Saccharomyces cerevisiae S288C: one gene and its partner. Changing the gene in region 2 together with the main gene of any one other region gives a genetic interaction. Each region holds a gene or a part of one and is shown on either strand. Other genes may lie near its edges.

What was found. Genes that interact genetically often act in the same process or in processes that back each other up.
Region 1: of SLY41 (region 2) and USO1, extra expression of one rescues a mutant of the other (dosage rescue), as found in Saccharomyces cerevisiae (2 studies listed by BioGRID).

The regions. Positions count from the first base shown.
Region 1 is NC_001136.10:344,024-352,530, reverse strand, and holds USO1 (Uso1p), read right to left. Parts: upstream 6,867-8,507; coding exon 1,494-6,866; downstream 1-1,493. Other genes in the region: YDL057W (uncharacterized protein), read right to left, coding at 111-1,097; RAD59 (Rad59p), read left to right, coding at 7,578-8,294. UniProt on the Saccharomyces cerevisiae protein: Required for protein transport from the ER to the Golgi complex.
Region 2 is NC_001147.6:891,345-897,173, forward strand, and holds SLY41 (Sly41p), read right to left. Parts: upstream 2,749-5,829; coding exon 1,387-2,748; downstream 1-1,386. Other genes in the region: MCH5 (riboflavin transporter), read right to left, coding at 1-88; U4/U6-U5 snRNP complex subunit SNU66, read right to left, coding at 3,280-5,043; RNA-processing protein NOP58, read right to left, coding at 5,481-5,829. UniProt on the Saccharomyces cerevisiae protein: Able to suppress the functional loss of YPT1. May form a channel. Protein SLY41 is not essential for cell viability. The SLY41 gene is a multicopy suppressor.

The DNA.
Region 1 (8,507 bases), on a different chromosome or scaffold from region 2:
TGCCTCTATTTGATCTTAAACTGCAATGCCGACGACTTTATGCGGGTGATCCCGCAAAGTGACCAAACTCAGCACAAGACTTATCTTAGATTAATATGTAGTTGTATGGTCTATGTATCTTGCAGGTATTCCATAATTAGATCAACTACTAGTGGTGAGTAGTTGACTCTACCCCTCCTTATCGGTAAGCCTAGCGCGTTGGGATCACCTTCAATGCCATAATAATTGTGGTCCGCATTTTCAATAAGTTTCAATGAATGTCTGCCCTCGAAAAGCCTTGCATAATTTGAGGCTGCGCTAATTGGCACTATGTGATCACACATGCCATAGCAGGACATTACTGAACAAGTTTGTGGTATCGTGGCAAATTCCGGAACGCAAACGCCAGCGATACTATAAGTCTCACTTAATGGTATCCAAAAGTCTTTGTATTCGCCATTTCGTGGACCATTCGCCCAAAACCCACCTTCTGCTTGCCAATGCGGGTGCAGTCGTGTGCAGCGTTCAATAAGTCCTCTCCCATCATATCTTCCAGCGCAATTGATCAGGTGAGACGGTAATGGAGATTCAGCTGCATGTAATTTTAGACAGAATTTGAACATGGCAAGAGATCCTCTAGAATGTGCCACAACCACGTCCAGTGATATTGTACTAGTTTTGTACAATTGCACCCTAAGAGACCTGTCAGATACTGTTTGGTATACTGTACTCAAATCTTCAAGATCCTGAGCGAGCGTCCTACCAAGGCCAGGGTCGCAGTTATCTGAGGAATCACCTTGGCCCCTAAAATCTATTCTTAGTACCCAATATCCGAATTCGGCCAGCCTTTTTGCTAGTAAAGTTTGATAAATAGCGTTCTTGTGAGATTGACTTCCGTGTAGTAACAATGCTAGTTTATTTTCCTTGCACAGTAATTTACCATCTTCTTTATTTGCAGTTGATGAATTTCTCTTTTCTGGGTATGAAACTATAGCCGCAATTTGATAAGATAAGCCGTTCATTGTACTTGTAATATATACGAATTTTTCATTTGCTTCCAATTTGATATAGGAGGGGGGAGCACTTTGTATTTGCACAGTGACATGTTTTTTTTCCATTTCGACTTGGTTATTTGACAAATATTCCCTTTTCTGATCTTTTTAGTACTTTCATCACTCCTGTAGATCTGCATCGGCTTTTCGCTATTTTTCCTTGGCTTATTATAATGCGTAAGCGTTTCTCGACAGAGATATTGCGACGCTGAGAAAAAAAAAGGAAGTTCTATGCAAGGGACATTAATGATATATTAGACAATTGTCTACGTGAGCTCACATATTGTTTGCACAAACTATACTTTAATTAGAAGGCGTGAAGTAATGTTAGATGTTATAGAAAATATAACATTTAGTGTCAGTAAAATGTATATATGCATATATAATTACAAAAAAGTAGTGCTGCCCACATAATCAAACAGATCGTTCAAGCGATTTGTTTATGCACATATTTTAACTCTATCATGCCACTTGCCCTTCTTCCTCGTCTTCTTCATCATCTTCTTCATCATCCTCTTCATCCGAACTAATTTCAACGCCCAAATCCTTCAGCTTTGAGCGATATTTGGCGTTTTTCTCATCTAGGTCAGTAACCAAGAGCATCAAGTCATCAATTTCCGAACGATCTTCGTTAGCTTCCTTCAACTTAGAGTTCTCTGCCTTCAAGTTATCCAGTTCTTTAGCCAACTTTTCAATTTCTTGTCTCTGAGAATCGGTTGTCTTTTTAACAGTATCTTCATCCCTTTTCCATGCTTGCTCTTTATTCACCAAATCGTTGTATTTAGTTTCAAGCAACATGGCTTTTTCATCAAGTTGAGACTTTTCGACTTGAAACTTCCTGACTTCGGCCCTACGTTCTTCCTCGGATTTTTGTGCCTTCTGTTGGGTGCTATCTAATTCCTGTTCTAATTCCTTGAGGCGCGAAGTTAGTAATTCTTTTTCTTCTTGATTACTTTTTATTTCGGCTTGCTTGTCTTTGAGTTCACGTTCTATATCTTCTAATTTAGATTTCAAAACTGTATTTTCTTCTGCGTTGATCCTTATTTTTTCTTGTGCGTTATTTAGCTCTTGTTTTACGGTTTCTAGTTCAGAGCCAGATTTTGCTTCGATCCTCAGTTTACTTTTCAGTTCTTCAATATCCTTTTCAGATTCGTTGATTCGGGATATCAAATCTGACTTCTCATGTTGCAAGTTTTTAATATCCTCCTCAGCACTTTTTTTCGACTGTTCTAATTTTTCATCTGATTTCCTTATGGTTTCCATTGAGGATTTCAACTCCGTTTCATTGCTCTCAATCGTACTCTCTAGCTTTTTCATCATTTCTTTAGACTTTTCAAGCTCTGCTTTCTCTTTTGAAGATTCTTCCTCAAGTTTTTTCAGCCCTTCTTCAACTTTAGCTTTGGATTCTTGTGCAGCCCGGAGTTGTTCTTTCAAGCTCTCCAGGTCTCGTTTATTATCTCGCTCTATTGATAGAAGCTTTTCGTCATTTCTAGTTATTTTGTCTTTATATGAAAGAATTTCATCTTGTAAGCTTTTTATTGTGTTTTGTTTCTCTTCTAAAAGCTCATCATTGCTTAAACTAACCTTCTCTAGTTCACTCCTCGTATTATCGATCTCTTTGGCTTTTAATTCGTTTTCATTTTGTAGCCTAATTAATTCATCTTCCAAAGTATTGATCTTTTCAGAATATTCTTGTGTAATTGTTGAAGATCCTTCATTAAGTAGCTTTCTTTCCTTTTCGAAGGCCTGATTTTTGATTTGTATTTCATTTTTCAATTTTTCCAATTGCTCCTCTGCATTTTTTCTTTCCTCAGAAGATGTCTTCTTCAATCTAGACAACTCAGATTCTGATTTCTCCTTGGCCTTAGATAAATTAGTGATCTTTTCCAATTGAATTTTTAGTTCAGTCGTTTTAGCATCTAGTTCTTCTTTTATCTTCTCCGATTCCTTCTGTAGCTCCAAATATTTAGAGTTCTTATCTTCTGAGGCCTTGAGTTTGTCTTCCAATTCACTAACTTCCTTTTCTTTAAAGTTACATTCGTCTTGTAATTCTTTAATTTTTACCGTTTCTGATTCTACACTTTTGATTGACTCCAATAAACTGGCTTCGTTCGTTTCGTTCTTCTTTTTCAGCTCTTTAATTTGCAAATTTAAGGCATCAATCTCTGACTTTTTCAAATTTGATTGTTCCTCTGAAGTGCTCTTCATTGCTTTAACTTCGCCCTCCAGTTCGTCATTTTTTTTCTTAATTGATTCATTTTCTTGTTGAGTGGAAGTAATCTCATCATTTAATTGAGATATTTCCTCGTTATATTGCCTTTCCTTGTTGGCAATTTGCTCCTCGTACTTCTTCAACTGAGCTGCTAAATCTTCATGCTCTTTTTCTAATGATTCTAAATTGGCACGTAGGCTGTTGAGTTGCTGTTTGGTTTCAGTGGCCTCCTTCTCGAGTTGAATTTTCTCTTCTTTTAAATGCTCCTCGTTTTCTTTAACTTCTTTCAAAGCTTTCTCTGAAGTTTCTAGTTTTGTTTCAAGTTCATTTTTGAGATTTTTATAAGCTGCTAACTCGGCTTCCAGCTCTTCCCTAGTTTTAGTCAATTCTGAGATTTTATTCACGTTTTCATCGTTTGCTGTTGTCGCCGTTTCTAATTTTTCTTTCAAGAGACTAATCTGGGACTCATATTCATCTTTTGAAGAATCGGATTTTGAGATAATTTCCTCCTTCGTTTGTTCTAAGTCAGAGATGGTTTTTTTTAGTTGTTCGATATTTTTTTCTATACTGCCTCTTTCTATTTGAAAATTTTCTTTTTCCTGTGACATAGAATCAATTTTATTTTGCAAATTAGACAATTGTATGCTGCTTTCGTTTTTTGACTCTTCTACAGCTTTTATTAGAGACTCATTTTCAGCTTGCATATCCTTATAGTTATTTGCTAAGGATTTCAATTTTTCTGTTAGTTTCGCTACTAGATTGTCATGACTCTGAAAGCGGGATTTGTACTCAACAAGTTCCTTCGAAATATGTTCCTTTTCTTTTGATAAATTATTACATTGAATTTTCATTTCTTCCAGATTTTCATTGATAGCTTTTATTTCAGTAATTTTTGCCGCAATATCTTCTTTTAGTGATTTAGTCTCTTTCTGATGGTTGACATTGCTTTTATCTTTTTCCTTCTGTAAATTTTTACAATTCTCCTCAACTGCTTGCATCTCTCTACTCAGAGCGAATAAATCTTTACCCATTTTGTTTATACCATCTTCTGCCTTTTTCTTTTGAGACAAAATAGTTTCAAGTCCTTTTTCTAAAGTTTTGATAGAGTCTTCTTGTTTGTGGATTGTGCTTTTGTACTCCAGTAAAGCAGTTTGATTTTCTTTGTCCTTAGTTTCCAGTACATCTCTCAGTTGCGTCATTTCATCCAAGGAATCTCTGACGTTCTTCAATTCAGTTTCCAAAATGGAAAAGTTTTCTTTCAACGAAGAATGTGAGGAATTCAAAATTTGGTATTTCTCATCCAACTCTTTGTGTTCATTAGTCAACGCAATCAATTTTTCGGTGAGGTTCTCATGGGTGCTTTCCGTTTCTGTTTGCAAAGAAGTTATCTCACCCTTCAATTTTGTACATTGCCTCTGTAATTTTTCGACTTCTTCGAAAGATATTTTATTGATTGGCTCTTCGTCAGGGTCGTGAGACAATGCAGTTCTGATCCTGTATATGTTTTCATTAAATAACTGTATGAAGTAAGTGCTGAAATAAACTTTTGGTAAACCAGTTTCATCAAGCTCCGGAGTTAGTATACTGTCTTCATTCATATCAACTTTTGAGAAATATGAATCTTTTTTAAATTGTTTGATTCGAGAAGCATAATTGTCTTTTCCCAAAGTTTTAGTGATGAATTCGAAGTATTCCTTTCTTGGGAATGGAGATTCTTTCGAGGAAAACTCGTATGCCACACCTAGTAACATTGTTACAAGGCATTTGATAGTAACGTCTTCATCTTGAATTTGGTAAGAGAAGGAAAGCAAGGATTTAATCACGGATTTATCCGAAAGAAAATCGTTCGTGGCCTTAAAGTCGCCAAAGAGCCAATATATTAGGAACGTTAAGTAGGAAATAGGAATTCTTATGTCAGCAGCAGTAAGGGAAGTAGTTAGCAATTCACTTATTGTTTGAATTGCCTTTAAGGGTTCTTCGTCTTCGAGATCGTTACCGGTGGTAACATTTCTTGTTATTTCACGTAGTTCTTCGCTATATTTGTGATCCTGTTGGAAAAAAAACATAAAAATATCAGTTGTGAAGAATAATTTAAAAGGGTTCAGATTCAATTCTGCGTCATAATTTAACAGGACTTCGAATAGATTTGCCTTGAAAGAACCTTCATATTCAGTGCCATCCTTCCCGTCGGTATCTTTATCTGAATCACTTTCTTTATCAGATTTGTTAGAACCACCATTTTCTTTAGCATTGTCGCCGACATTATTTGTTGAATTATTACACAATTGGACTTGTTTTAGTAAAAAATCTCTTTGAAGATCAAAATTATCCATGAAATAAGCCTTTAATAGTCTAGAACACGCAACTCTTGTATCAAACGTGTGAACGGAGTTGGCATAGAGCATCCAATTTATCAAGATGCTGACTACAGGAATTAATTTAATTGGACCACCGTTTGCAGTAGAGTTTACAGGTAATGAAGGATCGAAATATGGAACATCGATCTTACTAAACTCTAGCTGTGCATGTTCATTACTTCTAACCATGTTTGCGGCAGTCAAAAGAGCAACCGGTCTAACTTTTTTTGGGATATTATGAAAGAATGCAAGTCGCAACACAACCATTAATACGCTTGAGTCAAGCAACGCATTTTGATGCTTAGTGGTGACAGTATTTCCTGGCTCTACTGTTAGGCTGACGATATCTAAAGCTGTATTGATATTAACTATCCTTTGATCATTCCAAAAAAAAACTTCATCTTGAGATATTGGTTCACTCAAAAGGTGTGCCAGTTTTGGCAAGTTTCCTGTCTCAAGGAATAAAGTTTGATTAGAAGTGTTATACTTCAGGATGTTATTGATCAACGATAAACAATCATTGACGACGAGAGAGCCTCTTAACCCACCTTCTTCTTCGATGATGGAAAAGAGCCTTTCAAAAATGTTTTCAAAAGCAACCAATTTTTGAACGTGAGGTGAATCGTTCACTACTGCCATTAATAATAAAATAGCTTCATCCCTGATGGGCTCATGCATGTCATCTAGGAGTGAGACCATTGTGGATATGCTCGTTGGAAGTGAAATCAAAGCACTTCTCGCCTTCAACGGCCTCGTGGCCATCACTGCCTCTAGTAATTGAATTGTGTACAATCTAATATGGAAATTATCGATTTCCCAAAATTCAACAAGTAGGTGAATTAAATCTTCAGACTGCGTCAAAGCATCAGCAATCCATAACGAGAACTGATCTACTTGTTCCTTTTCTTGCTTCATCACCAATGGTGAGGGATACTTGCCATTCTGCAACCGCGATTGTTGAGAAATCCAACCTCTAGTTAAGTCGTCATGGCCATCGCCTCTGATGAAAAGAATCAAAATTGTTTCTAATATAGCCTTTACCGAATCTTCATCCATATAATCACGTTTCAAAGTATTGAGCAACGGTTTTAGCCCGGATGCAATCACTGATTCTCTATACTGCCGGCTAAATGCCTTTAATCCCAGCACAGCGGATCTCCTATCGCTAATCAAAGTGGAGTTCTCAACTCGATCGCACAACGTCGGAATGGTTTCATCCACAGATTGAATTTTTGGTTGCTGTATCAGTCCTTGAATGATGTCCATTCTTGATAGGAGGGTTGTTATAGATATTAATCACTCGAAGTCGTGAACAAGAATTGTCTTCTCTCCAGTATTCAGTCTCTGTGATGTCTAAACCCTGTTAATGTGCAAGGTCTATTTTTTTCGTAAGAACCACGCGCTTTAGGCTTTATTTCTGGTAATAATAGCAAGAAATAAGAACAGACAGTTGCAAATCTAAACGACTGTCCAAACGAAAGTATCAAGTTCGCTAAATTTACTTCGAAGACAGAAGCCAGTAAATTTTGTTTTCTTCATGGAAATAGTTTCCAAAAAGTTCTTAGTAATTACCATATGTTCTTGTATGTGGCGCTGCGAAAGAAAGGTTAGCCGACCGGCATCACCCATAATTGTATAATATAGCAATGAAGCAACTTGTTGAAGTTTTCTTTAAAGTACTATAGTATTGAATAATATCATGTTCACTTGATAAAATTGGGTATTTTATTGACCATTATATCGCGTTGGACACTAATGTCTTTCAAGTTGGTGTCACGTCACGTGCTTTTCAATGTACTGGGGCAAATTGATTAGAGGAAGCCACAGTTTGGCAAGGGCAGATATGATAGGAAGCAGTAACGGCAAGGAAGGATAAGAACATCATTGAGGGAGTCTGTGGCAGTTTAGCACATGCTTTGGACCATTAAAGGGTTACGTAGAGGAGAAGAGCATATTTCAGGATAAACAGACAAAATAATGACGATACAAGCGAAGCCCAGTTCGAGCATATCGTATGATTCGACTACATACGGCACAGCACCGGGCTTGGATATAAAAGAGTTCCAAATCATCGAAGATTGGAATGGAAGACCTGCCAGCGCTTGGTCGGTGCAGAGGATTGGGCTTCTACAGTCCAAGATCGAAAGGTACACGTACAATATTTACCACAATAATAAATATGGGAAGCACAACTTATCTAAGCTGATACCAGGGCATGCTCTCATTCAGTTCGCTAATGAAACATTCGGGTATGATGGTTGGCGAATGGATGTTATAGATGTTGAGGCCCGGGAGTGCCAGCCCTTCACCGCAGTAAATAATGGAGAAAACACCAACACTAGTGAGGTCAAGTATACAGTTGTGGCAGAAGCCCAAGTAAAGGTTACCTTAAAGGATGGCACCAACACACAGTGTGGTGGGCTAGGTAGAATTACTTTGTCCTCGAGAGGTGAATGTTATAACAGGTCGAAAAAAGAGGCTGTAGGCGATGCGTTAAAGAAGGCGTTATTGAGCTTTGAAAAAATCATACTCGATTATGAGACTAAGATTACAAATAATTACTATGTCGATGGCTTGTATGGCTCAAAAAAAATTAAAAATGAAGCTAACACCAATTACAACTTATTGTCAGCGACTAATAGCAAGCCGACTTTTATCAAATTGGAGGATGCTAAAGGCACGCATATCAAATAAAAAAAAAAAGAAAGAAAAAGGGCACAAGTAGCAAATTTATTTTGCTTGATAAAAAGTCATAATTTTCACATAATGCATTAATACCTCTACAAAATAAGTGGCATTTGTATTTGATGCGAACGGAACAGGTATCGACTTACCTTTATCAACAGTATCGTTGATACTATTTTATTAGCATTATATTATACAAATAGATCTCACGTACTTATATAT
Region 2 (5,829 bases):
TATCCTCATCTAAATCAGGTTGCCGCAGTTGGTTGGTTTGTTCTTCTGGAACTATAGTGTCTTTAGGCGTTAAACTGTCTGAGCTCATTATTTTTCTTTTTAATCTATAGTAAAATCAGAGCTTTTTAATCGATAGTATGCCCCCGTGATCTTAGTTATTCAGATCTTAGTATGTTTTTACAGATATAACCTATCCTTCACTAACTTTGAAGAGAGAATTGCTATTTGAGAATTTCCAAACGTACATCAAGCAGTTTATATATCTAGTCCCCGTAACTACTGGGAGATCTAACCAAATAGCTTCTTTATTATATTCATTTCTCTGAGCAAAATAGATATTTTTGAAAAATTTTCCTCTAGTTTCTTTTCAGAGATGTCTCTCTATTATTAGCCTCATACAATACCGCCTAGGGCGATTCAGCAGAACAGTAATTATTCCGCTGTATTTCTTTTTCAGGTGCCTCAAACGTCTATAGAACAGCGCGCAGCAGGTTGAGAAAAATGTCAAAAATTCGATCCTTTCCTATCTTTTCTTTTTCGGACGCCAAAGCGCAGTATTCAACCGACGATGTTCGGGAAGCCACCCCCGAGATCATAATAACAGGTGCGTTGTGACTCTATTGTTAACACGAGGGAAAAGATGGAATAATTTTGGAGAAACACAATGTCGTTCTAGCGGGAAAAAAGGGCAAAACCAAAAAACACGGAGTCTGTCCAATATTAATTTGGTTAAAGCAGTTCGTATAACCAAACTTTATTGGCATTGTCCGTCGACTAGTCTATTTTTATTTCTCTCAACCTTTCGAGTACTTGGAAAAAGGAGTAGATCCGCTTTCAGCAATCGAAGCAATAGGCATTAGGGGTAGAGCAATCCTCAAAATCCTTGTGCCTCGACTGTGGGTTCTAGTATGATCGCTATTTTTTCTTATTCTTTCCTAGTTAAAGCAATAGTTGTTCGTTCTATAAGTTTTTCCGCGAGATCGTGGAAATACCTTAAAAAAGACGCGTGTATGGCTCCTGCATGCGAATCTTCTCTTTTGCTTTGTAATCGCATGTGAGATAATCAAGGGATTGTAGCCATTGTTTTCGAAAAATAATAAAATGACCGCACTTTATCCTCCACGGAGCGGAAGGCCATTCCCGTACGCATATTAATGTAAATGAGATAAATAACCAAATAAGTACCGCCACATCGGATTTTTAACCTTGATATGGTGCGGGGGTGGGGTAACAGTTTAGGATCTTGAAGTAATGCTAGCAACAGAGGTAGTAGCAGTAAATAAGATAAAAAAGACCTTCGAGGGTTTTTTTTTTGATTATATATTTGATATAGTACTAAGTGTCCTACCTTGAATGATGGTTTGTACTCAATAGTATTACTTCATATTATGCCTGACGTCCATCTTTTTTGGAAAGCCCCCATTTGTCATAACCGTACAATCCGGCAATTGTCAAGATAACACCAAACACCTGAAAAAAATTTAACTTTGTTTCCCAAAAGAGTGCCACGGATATAACAACAATCCTCTTCATGATGTTTGCTACCGAATAATTAATGGAAGATAGTAAACCGATCAACTGGAAAGCAAGCATTGCTTGGAAAAAATGGGCTATTCCATGAATCGCTACAAGGGCTACTGTTTCTAGCGTTAAATCGTTGATAACGCTACCGCCATGCATTAATTCGCCGGTTAAAAAAGGTAATAGGGTTAAAGAAAACCCAATGCAGGAGCAGTAGAACAATATGGTAATCTTATCCACTTGCAATGGAGAAAATCTTGTTTTGTCTAGACTCGGTTGCCCTTCCTTCGACGTGACGTCATCCGTAGAAGAAGACGGCAGTATTCCTACCTTCCTTCTGATGGTTAAAATATTCTTTGCAAAAATATTCTGTGCTACAAATATTATCATGGAAATAAAGGCAAAAAGCAACCCGATTAATGAAGATCCGCTTTTGTTATCTGAAGCCCTCTTACTGCCATGTGTTGACCAGCAAGTAGTCATAACGCCAAAAATTAAAAGTAACAAGGTATAATAAGTCATGGAATTGTAATAACGATGTTCGAAAAATTTATAGTAGCCAACTGTTATTATTGGGGATAATGCCTTCACGGAATGCACTAGTGATACTGGTATCATAGATACCGCCTTGTGCGATGTGATATGACCAATAAATTGGAATATTCCCATAGGGAAAGTGGTCATCAAAACCAGCTTTGAGGGAACTAAAAACTTGTGCAGGATAGAACTCCTGAAATTGCCATCGAGATATTCAGGAAGGATACCGTCAGGGAAACTATTGAGTGCCTTTGAAAACTTCGTATGCTTCAAACGAGGTAGTCGGAATAAATTTACGATGGAAGCAAATCCAACACATAGAACAGCACTAACAAGAAATTGCAATTCTGTGAGAGCTATGGGATGGTTGAAAGTTCTTAAAATGGCTTTAGATAGGTTACTTGAAATAGATGACGTGACGTACCATATAGAACAAATAATGGTTATTCTTAGGTCAACTTCAGGTAAGTACCCTTGTATATTACTAGGAAATAGTTGCGTGAATCTTTTTTTAAGGCTAGTAATATCATATCCAAAGACTTGATTACTGAATGTCTCCTTACTGTATTCTTTTTTTTGGTGTTGGAACCCCCCACGTGGTGGTTCTGGTATTTGATACAGTGATGGATCAAAGAGGTTTTTATGAACAGAATTACGTCGTTTGATCGCTGTACTTTGCGTTTGAATCATGTTAGGCCGGTATTGTTTCTCCTTTATAAAAACGAATGGCTCCTTATTAAACACTTTTATCGTCAATCCACTTACTCTCTAAATATCGTAAGCTTTGCATATATAAGCATATAATAAAAATAGTTGGTATATGCTGCACGTGTAGTCTAATGTTCTTTTCTTTTTTTTCTTTATTCTTTTTTCTCCTCTTTATGAATACAGATATTCAATTTTTTGAATATCTGATTGTTTTTATTTTCATTTCAATTTTTTTTTTTTTTCAATTTTTTTTATCCGATCGTTGCGCCAAGCTTCTATCGCTTAAAACAATGACACTTCGCTGTGAAATGACACAATGGCTTGAGATTCAGGCACAACGCAAAAGGTCTTTACAAATGTATATCACAGAATATTAATGTTTGAAAAGTACTTCCGAATTCAAGGCCACCACGTAGCCTTATACACCAAATACAATTATACACAGGTTTCAAACTTGAGAAAAACAAGATATTGAATATTAAAAGCTGGGGCTAGTAGAATTTGCTGATTAGGTTAATTGTCATCAAATTCAAACAAACTACCATTTTCAGGGGTATTTTTCCTTGCTTCAATTCTGGATTTCATTTTTGCTCTCTTTTTCTTGTTGCTTTTTGTACCATGAAATTTCTGTGACAGTTTTTTATATGCCTCCTTAGTAGTCAGTCGATTTCCCTTTTCGTCTCTGTAAACCAGTTTTATGTCAGGATCATAATGATCTTGTCTTTTTGAATGAGTATTTGCATTGGAAGAGTCACTAGATGTGAATTGTTCCAGTCCGTGTAGCTTATCTTTTGTATAAGTGCCAGTGCCCGTATGCTCTTTATTTCGGACATCCCTTCGAAGTGATTCACTATTATTAACATCCTTTCCTGGTTTCAAATCGACGTCTCCTGTGGTGAAAACACTCTTTTTCCGAAGATATCCTAGTGTTGATGCAAGACCAGAAAAAAAGTTCGGTGCATTTTCAGCATCTCCCTCGTAGTTTGGTTCATTATTAACTGCTTCAGTCAGTGTATTGTTTCCACTCCCTTCCTTAGTATGTCCATTGGTAACATCTCCGATATTTTTCTCTCCTTCACCATGCACTTTCACTTTATTCTCAGTAGCACTTCGTTCGGAGAGACTGGTATCCAAAGTATTTAAAAAAGTTACCTTTTCGTCGACGACAATACTGTTGGAAATTTCACGCATTTTCAAAATGCTTTCAGTGCGTCGCTTCTCTTCGTCTCTTGCCTTTTCAATTTCTCTAGCGAGGTCCTCTGGCCCTTTCAATTCATTGTTTGAGCTTGTTCTGGGATTTATTATGGTGACTGGCTGTTCTTCTTCCATCCAGGATAAACTTTCATCTTCATCTACTAACTTAACAATTTCCATCTTATCAGTAATTTTTGACTTCCTAGCTTTAGTAGATCTTGGGTCCTTGATCTTACGTTTTTTAATTTTTAAAGGTTTAAAGTCTCCACCATCTTCATCTGACATATTATTTGCGCTATCGAAATTCACTTTAACTTTTCCCGTTGGTGGTTTTGCTGATATAGTATTCGGTGCCTTCATAACACCCTGTTCTGCTCCGATGATTAGATGTGTAGTTGTAATTGAGTGTTTCTCTCCTTCTTCTTCTTCTTCAATATCTAAGCTAGATACATTTAAAATTTTTTTTTTTTGTCTTCTATCTTTATTCATTTGTCGTAATCGTAGTTTCTCTCTATCAGCGTTTTCCTCGGCAGCTTTCACATTCTCTAACACTTCGGTAGAATCAGTATCATCAAAAATACTGCTCTCTTTCAAAGTTAGAATCGTATCTTTCTTTGGGCTAAGCGCCTCGATATTATATGATACTTGAACATTATGCAGATCAATATTTTCGTCTTCCTTCGTGGCGCCTTTTCTTGGCAATGTGCTGGAACGTTTGGATTCATGTGAGGAAGGAATTGCATCCATGTTTTCTAGCCATGAACTGTCGTCATTTACATTAGTTTCTTCGAGAAGGTGCGCCATTCGTAAAGGAGCGTTCGCCTTTTTTTGAAACTTTGTTATCTTCTCTCGAAGTTCATCGATTTTGGATGTGTTATGTACATTAGGGGGAGAAGAATTGAAATTTTGTTGGGGTGGGATAAGTTTTAGGCCAAGGGACGCCCTCAACTCATTCGTCTCTTCGATTGACAAAGACTCTTTATGGTCTGTATTCTTTTCTTGAAAAACTGGAATAGGTTTCATACCCAGCTTTTCCCTTATTTCATTTGTCTCCTCAATAGAAAGGTTTTCCGTTTTGTTCATAAATTAATTAAGGGTTGATGTGATGATTGCCTTTTTATTAATATCAAATAGTAACGATTGCACCATCTCATCCTTTGCTCACTTTCAAAAATTTTGTATATCTTTTTCGTCCCGCGAATAATTTTAAGTTGCGCAGTTCACGATATGAATACCTATAACTGCTAATGGTACAAATTTTTTAAAGGTTAAACAAAACTTTTAATGATATAAAGTACCTAAAACTATGTAAACATAAATTATGTATACTATTTCAAATATATCACCTAAAAAAAATAATAAGTTCAATTCAATATGGGCGTACAGCACTAATTTACAGATTATGGAATAAAATATGAAATGAGAAATAGGTTAAGCATTGGATAATTATAGAAAATTTTCTAAATCCAAATAAAAGGGAACGCGAGGGGTCACTAATTATTAAAATGTAAAATGCATCCTTATTTCTTCTCTTTCTTCTCTTTCTTGGACTTCTTTTCCTTCTTCTCTTTCTTCTCTTTCTTCTCCTTCTTTTCCTTCTTTTCCTTCTTTTCCTTCTTGTCCTTCTTTTCCTTCTTAGCTTTTTTAGAATCCTTGGAATCTTCATCATCGTCTCTCTTTCTCTTCTTTTCTTTCTTTTCTTTCTTTTCTTCCTCTTCATCATCAGAATCGGATTCAGAATCAGAAGCAGCCTTTGCGGTATCAGCATCTGCATTGTAGGCCCTAGCTTCAGTCATTTCCACCTTCTTAGCCTCACGAACAACCTTTGGAGTAGTTCTTAAATCTCTACCTTCTAATTGGGATAATCTA